Linked DNA regions of Saccharomyces cerevisiae S288C. The protein of the gene in region 1 binds, or shares a complex with, the protein of each later gene. Each region holds a gene or a part of one and is shown in the gene's direction. Other genes may lie near its edges.

Region 1 (3,403 bases):
ACTGTAAGTTTTCTAAAGTTTTGGTCCATCTTGTATAGGATTTCATTAGTTTATCCCTCATCTCGAGCATTCCTAGTATTTTGCTATATGAATTTCTTTCGAATGCCACCTGAATATATCTTGGTAAATTAGCCAGTGATGTATCGTATAAATTATTATGTTCATGGAATGTCTTGGAGTAAAAATCGCTCTGTTTATTCGGGAACAAAGTAGAAAATCTCGAGAATATCATGTAATCTAGGGAATCTGTTTGAACGTTTTTAATCTTTAGGTTTATGAAATGGAAATAAGCATCGGGAACTAAACCCAGGTACATGTATAAAACAATCAGCCAGCACATAGTATCGAAGTTATGAGGGTCCTTGGCTTGGTAATTTTCCAATATCGTTATACACAAAAGCACGTCTTTCAATTCAGGATTAGTTTTCTTGCACTTGTCCTTGACTATTTCTAATAAGAATGTAGAACAGGAGGAATAATCCGTTACCGATTTTTTTTCCAGGGTCCCCTTAAACTTGTTATAGTTATTGATTGAGTCGCTTCCAATAAGTCCCAATTCTAGAATATTACAATGATGAATCAAATCCTTATCCTCTGGATCGTACTTAGACATAATGCTCTTAAGCATATCTATGTTAATGTGGCCGCTGTAATGATTCAAATCGATTGAACAACAAGGTTTGTTATGGTACTTTGATAAATAGTACGACAAAGATGATTCCGAAACCGAATCGGTGTACATTATATCAAGTTTCAAGCGCGCCAATCGAGTATTCCTTGAGTCTCCCAAATTTTCATCAATCCATTGTTTGACTTCGTCTTTAGATTTAGAAAGTTTGTAGGCAGCATCAATCAAGTTTGTGATCAATTCATAATCATCAAGGCCCTTTTCAATAAGTTTTGAACAAACTTCAAAAAGTTTTTGTGGAGAATTCAATAACTTGGTATGCTTCAAGATAAAGTTTTTCAAATACAAGTTTACTGAAGTATCAAAATTGGCAAAGGTAATCGCAACAATCTCTTCCGAGATTTCTCTAGATTGAGGGAATAGTTCATCCAACACCAAACAATAAACTATAATCTCTTGAACATTTTGAAATGGTTTCAAGTCTAACAAAGACTGGCGCGCTAGCCTGGAGAGCAAAATTTTCTTGGGATCTGAAAGAGTGTTTTCCTGAAACCTTGATACGGCTAAAATCGAGATTGCATTCCAAAAATAATATGCTCTTTTAGGCAGGTTTCCACTGTCACTGTATTTAGCTAGCTGTAGAGATGCTTTGCTCATTTGGTTATAATTGGAATCTTCCAATGCTTTCATAAACCAGTGATAAGACAATTCGTAGCTAGGGAATTTGAAATTTCCTCTTTCATACACGTGCAATGCTTCGTCGTATTTCCCTAACTCTACGAAGAAGTTGTGCAAAAACTCCAAGGAACGCGTGTCGCCCGTAATCGTTGTCCCTTTCAGCCCATATGGTTCTTCTAGCAGTTTATTGTAATCGAACTTACCAGGTGACTGCTTGAATTTAACATAGGTTTCCAAAATCTTGAAGTACAACGCATTGGGAAATTGTTTTTGCAATTGCCCCAGTTTTGCATAGCATTGTTTGAAGTTGGACCTGCTTACTAGTCCTAATATCTCCTCCTGTATCTTGTCGGACATGCTTCGATGCGATGATTGCTGTACCGAGCTCGTTATGTATCGTTGCTTCGCCAATGAATTCTGTTGCAGCTGACATTTATTATTTATTTTCCTAAAGCCCTCGGCGGTCCGTGGACAGTGATTTTCGTTAAAGGTGACTGAAAAATTTTAGATGCTCATCGCGATGGTTCTCAAAGAATCTATCACCTAAAAAGATACAGAAATTGCTATAATATTTACGAGTTAGAAGGTTACTTAGCCTTATTTTGCTTCACGTCTTTCTTTATACATTCGTCAGGTGTTGAAAGAGTTCAACCAAAGATGTCTTCTATCTACAAAGCCCTCGCAGGAAAGAGCAAAGATAATAAATCTGAAAAGAAGCAAGGCAATGTCAAGCAATTTATGAACAAGCAAAGAACTCTTCTGATTTCGAGTAGAGGTGTTAACTATAGACATCGTCATTTAATTCAAGACTTAAGCGGATTATTGCCTCATTCCAGAAAGGAGCCAAAATTGGATACTAAAAAGGATCTTCAACAGTTGAACGAAATCGCTGAGTTGTACAATTGTAATAATGTTCTATTCTTTGAGGCCAGAAAACACCAAGATTTGTATCTATGGTTATCCAAGCCGCCAAATGGGCCAACTATAAAATTTTACATTCAAAACTTGCATACTATGGATGAGTTGAATTTTACAGGTAACTGTTTAAAGGGTTCTCGTCCGGTATTGTCGTTTGATCAACGTTTCGAATCCTCCCCACACTACCAATTAATTAAGGAGTTGCTAGTGCATAATTTTGGTGTACCACCAAATGCTAGAAAATCTAAGCCATTTATTGATCACGTCATGTCCTTCAGTATTGTAGATGATAAAATATGGGTGAGGACATATGAGATCTCACACAGTACTAAGAACAAAGAAGAATATGAAGATGGCGAAGAAGACATATCATTAGTGGAAATTGGCCCTAGGTTTGTTATGACTGTCATTTTGATCCTAGAAGGTTCATTTGGTGGTCCAAAGATCTATGAAAATAAACAATATGTTTCGCCAAACGTCGTAAGAGCTCAAATTAAACAACAAGCTGCTGAGGAGGCAAAGTCTAGAGCTGAAGCTGCTGTGGAAAGAAAAATTAAGAGAAGAGAGAATGTTCTTGCCGCCGATCCTTTATCAAACGATGCCTTGTTTAAATAATAAGCATAATACTATCAGAGAGTTTTACATAACATTGTATATTAAAAAGATATAACAAGAAAAGAGTGGATGTAGCAACTGTCTAGTTATAGACCTCTTTTTAATAATTTAATGTTTAAATCTTGAATATCGAAAGCTGTATATATAAAGAATATTTATTGTATGTACAAAAGATCTTCAACCGCGCAGCAATCAAGCTATATTTACGCATCTTGCTTTTCCGAATGTTTCTTTAAGTAGTTTTCAATGAATTTTTCCTCGTCTTTGTTGTCTGTTTTGATGTCGACTGTTTTTGGCTTTGCGCTTTTAAAAGGATTTGGAACAACCAATAAACCTAGCAGTCCTAATGTCCCAATGGCTAGTTGGTGTGGAGGGATAGCTTTCCCCATGAAATGATAAGCAGCACCCATTGTCGTAGTTATAAATTATTATTTGAAGTCACCTGGCCTTATTCAATGCTAACGAGTTATGTGCTCTATGGGGGGACTTGCTCCTAAAAAGCTCTTTTTTTTCCCTTTGCATCGAGAAGCGGACTCTGACCAATCACCATCGAGATCGCGATGA
Region 2 (3,631 bases), on another chromosome or scaffold:
GTACGTATACTTGATACATCACAATCTGAATCTCGCCAAAAAAGACAGTTGCATGATATCTCAAAGACGGAAACCTCCAACGAAGATGAAGATGAAGATGACGAAACGCCTTCATGTGAGGTCGAAGAAATTGGCTTATTAGGTGGCAGATATGTCTATCCGGTTCATGAAGCACACAAAGGACAGATAGTATTAATAAAAGGTATTTCAAGTGCATATATTAAATCCGCGACGTTGTACTCTGTAAAGAGTAAGGAGGACATGAAACAGCTAAAATTTTTCAAACCTTTAGATTATATTACCGAGGCAGTTTTCAAAATTGTTCTTCAACCTTTACTGCCAAGGGAATTACCCAAGTTATTGGATGCCCTGAACAAAATTTCGAAATACTACCCAGGCGTTATTATTAAAGTTGAGGAATCTGGAGAACATGTAATACTAGGAAATGGAGAGCTGTATATGGACTGTTTGTTGTATGATCTAAGAGCGAGTTATGCAAAGATAGAAATTAAAATATCTGATCCTTTAACTGTTTTTTCTGAAAGTTGCTCAAATGAATCGTTCGCTTCAATACCTGTAAGTAATTCGATATCTCGCCTTGGTGAGGAAAATTTACCAGGTCTGTCGATTAGTGTAGCCGCTGAACCAATGGACTCTAAAATGATTCAGGATTTGAGCAGGAACACATTGGGAAAGGGTCAAAACTGCTTGGATATTGACGGAATAATGGACAACCCAAGGAAACTATCCAAAATATTGAGAACCGAGTATGGGTGGGATTCGTTGGCATCAAGAAACGTTTGGTCTTTTTATAATGGCAACGTGTTGATTAATGACACTTTGCCAGATGAAATCAGTCCTGAATTATTATCCAAATATAAGGAACAAATAATACAAGGATTTTACTGGGCTGTAAAAGAGGGGCCTTTGGCAGAAGAACCAATTTATGGTGTACAGTATAAATTGTTATCGATCTCAGTACCTTCCGACGTAAACATTGACGTTATGAAAAGTCAAATTATTCCGCTAATGAAAAAAGCCTGTTACGTTGGCTTACTGACAGCAATCCCAATTTTATTGGAACCCATCTATGAAGTTGACATCACGGTCCACGCCCCCTTGCTGCCAATAGTAGAGGAACTTATGAAGAAGAGACGTGGAAGCAGGATATACAAAACAATAAAAGTGGCAGGGACACCATTGTTGGAGGTTCGTGGACAAGTTCCGGTTATTGAATCTGCAGGATTCGAGACAGATTTGAGATTATCTACGAATGGTCTTGGTATGTGTCAGCTGTACTTTTGGCACAAGATATGGAGGAAGGTTCCTGGTGATGTTTTGGATAAAGATGCGTTTATTCCAAAATTGAAACCCGCACCTATCAACAGTTTAAGTCGTGATTTCGTGATGAAAACAAGAAGGCGGAAGGGTATTTCTACAGGTGGATTTATGTCAAATGATGGTCCTACGCTTGAAAAGTATATAAGCGCTGAATTATACGCTCAATTAAGAGAAAATGGCTTAGTACCGTGAAAATCTTGGCGCATAAGAATTAAGCAATATGTCCACAATATTTTTATTCAGCAGAATTTACATATGACTTCGTATTTAGTGATATAACTACTCATCGGGACTGAAAATTTTTTATTTCTGCCTAAATACAGATGAGATGAGCTTTATAGAATTTTACGCTGTTAAAAAGTTAAACGGTAACAAAGCACAGTTAGTTGAACAACGGTATATAGAGAATGGCTAAAGGTTTCAAGTTGAAGGAGTTGCTTTCGCATCAAAAGGAAATTGAAAAAGCTGAAAAGCTTGAAAATGACCTAAAGAAAAAGAAATCCCAAGAATTGAAGAAAGAAGAACCAACTATCGTTACAGCTTCTAATTTGAAAAAGCTTGAGAAGAAAGAAAAGAAGGCCGATGTTAAGAAGGAAGTTGCTGCAGATACTGAAGAATATCAAAGCCAAGCCCTTTCTAAAAAAGAGAAAAGAAAGTTGAAAAAAGAATTGAAAAAAATGCAAGAACAGGACGCTACCGAAGCTCAAAAGCATATGTCTGGCGATGAAGATGAATCTGGCGACGATAGAGAGGAAGAAGAAGAAGAAGAAGAAGAAGAAGAAGGAAGACTGGATCTTGAGAAATTGGCCAAAAGTGACTCTGAGTCTGAAGATGATTCTGAGTCTGAAAATGATTCTGAAGAGGATGAGGATGTCGTTGCTAAAGAAGAAAGCGAGGAAAAGGAAGAGCAAGAAGAAGAACAAGACGTTCCATTGTCAGACGTGGAATTTGATTCTGATGCAGATGTCGTTCCACATCATAAACTAACCGTCAACAACACAAAAGCGATGAAACATGCCTTAGAAAGGGTACAATTGCCATGGAAAAAACATTCATTCCAAGAGCACCAAAGCGTTACATCAGAAACTAATACGGATGAACATATTAAGGACATATACGATGATACTGAAAGGGAATTAGCATTTTACAAGCAATCACTGGACGCTGTTTTAGTAGCACGTGACGAATTGAAACGACTAAAAGTACCCTTCAAAAGACCATTGGATTATTTTGCTGAAATGGTGAAAAGTGATGAACATATGGACAAGATTAAGGGTAAGTTGATTGAAGAAGCCAGTGACAAGAAGGCACGTGAAGAAGCTAGAAGACAAAGGCAATTGAAGAAATTTGGTAAGCAAGTCCAAAACGCTACCTTACAGAAACGTCAATTGGAGAAAAGAGAAACACTGGAAAAGATCAAATCTTTGAAGAACAAAAGAAAGCACAACGAGATCGATCACTCCGAGTTCAACGTCGGTGTAGAGGAAGAAGTTGAAGGAAAAAGGTTCGATAGAGGCAGGCCTAACGGAAAGAGAGCCGCAAAAAACGCTAAGTATGGCCAAGGAGGCATGAAGAGATTCAAGAGGAAGAATGATGCTACCTCTTCTGCTGATGTCAGCGGCTTTTCTTCCAGAAAAATGAAGGGGAAGACCAATAGACCAGGAAAGAGTAGACGTGCCAGAAGATTCTAAGCCGTTATGTCGGCAAGAACACTGTATATATCCAGAACGTAAAGTATATACAACTATCTATCATCTCTTTGTACACTAGTATAAAATAGAATTAAATCCAACGAAGCCCTAAAAGGCTTTTGTAACCCTGCCAAGATGACGGGAAAATAAAGGGAAAGACCTTATGTTTTTGCCCAAAAACCCTAGCGCCGGCGCTAATATTAATGGCCGGAATGAAAAGGTCCCGGAACTTTGTGTATGGCGTTGCGCTCTTCCTGTGAGTGGGGGGAAACAGATTAGATAATTGAATTCAATAACAACAGTCAATGGGGGACGGAGGGTCTTATGTTCCCTTTGGGTCATCGGGGACGCAAGTAAGAAGATACGCAATCAGCAAGCGCTGTTATTACTCTAACGAAGAAATCTTTTCAGCAAAACGGTCCAAAAGAACGAATGTTTACGTCGCAGCGACAGCTTCGACAAAATGGGAGTCCGATGTCATCATCACGTTCATCACAACATTCCTCTGGTACAGCGTCGCCGATATCAGACTCTCCAGCATCGAATCGCAGCTATGGAAGAGATCTACGAGGCTTAATGGGAATTGATATACCTGCTAA

Evidence for each region.
Region 2: the proteins of BRX1 (region 1) and EBP2 are in contact, whole or in part, in a crystal structure (PDB 5Z1G), measured with the Saccharomyces cerevisiae proteins. Residues at the interface, in NP_014565.2 of Saccharomyces cerevisiae: Phe27 (codon at 2,042), Met28 (codon at 2,045), Asn29 (codon at 2,048), Gln31 (codon at 2,054), Leu55 (codon at 2,126), Lys103 (codon at 2,270), Asn106 (codon at 2,279), Gly107 (codon at 2,282), Pro108 (codon at 2,285), Met120 (codon at 2,321), Asp121 (codon at 2,324), Glu122 (codon at 2,327), Leu123 (codon at 2,330), Phe125 (codon at 2,336), Thr126 (codon at 2,339), Gly127 (codon at 2,342), Asn128 (codon at 2,345), Cys129 (codon at 2,348), Leu130 (codon at 2,351), Lys131 (codon at 2,354), Arg134 (codon at 2,363), Pro135 (codon at 2,366), Val136 (codon at 2,369), Leu137 (codon at 2,372), Ser138 (codon at 2,375), Phe139 (codon at 2,378), Asp140 (codon at 2,381), Gln141 (codon at 2,384), Arg142 (codon at 2,387), Glu144 (codon at 2,393); in NP_012749.1 of Saccharomyces cerevisiae: Val195 (codon at 2,331), Asn196 (codon at 2,334), Asn197 (codon at 2,337), Thr198 (codon at 2,340), Ala200 (codon at 2,346), Met201 (codon at 2,349), Lys202 (codon at 2,352), Ala204 (codon at 2,358), Leu205 (codon at 2,361), Arg207 (codon at 2,367), Val208 (codon at 2,370), Gln209 (codon at 2,373), Leu210 (codon at 2,376), Pro211 (codon at 2,379), Trp212 (codon at 2,382), His215 (codon at 2,391), Gln218 (codon at 2,400), Glu219 (codon at 2,403), His220 (codon at 2,406), Gln221 (codon at 2,409), Ser222 (codon at 2,412), Val223 (codon at 2,415), Thr224 (codon at 2,418), Ser225 (codon at 2,421), Glu226 (codon at 2,424), Thr227 (codon at 2,427), Asn228 (codon at 2,430), Thr229 (codon at 2,433), Asp230 (codon at 2,436), Ile233 (codon at 2,445).

The regions. Positions count from the first base shown.
Region 1 is NC_001147.6:185,284-188,686, reverse strand, and holds BRX1 (ribosome biogenesis protein BRX1), read left to right. Parts: upstream 1-1,963; coding exon 1,964-2,839; downstream 2,840-3,403. Other genes in the region: MDM20 (Mdm20p), read right to left, coding at 1-1,663; ATP19 (F1F0 ATP synthase subunit k), read right to left, coding at 3,043-3,249. UniProt on the Saccharomyces cerevisiae protein: Required for biogenesis of the 60S ribosomal subunit.
Region 2 is NC_001143.9:124,011-127,641, forward strand, and holds EBP2 (Ebp2p), read left to right. Parts: upstream 1-1,748; coding exon 1,749-3,032; downstream 3,033-3,631. Other genes in the region: U5 snRNP GTPase SNU114, read left to right, coding at 1-1,533; protein kinase NNK1, read left to right, coding at 3,465-3,631. UniProt on the Saccharomyces cerevisiae protein: Required for the processing of the 27S pre-rRNA. Probably involved in the step of the processing of the 27 SA precursor into the 27 SB intermediate.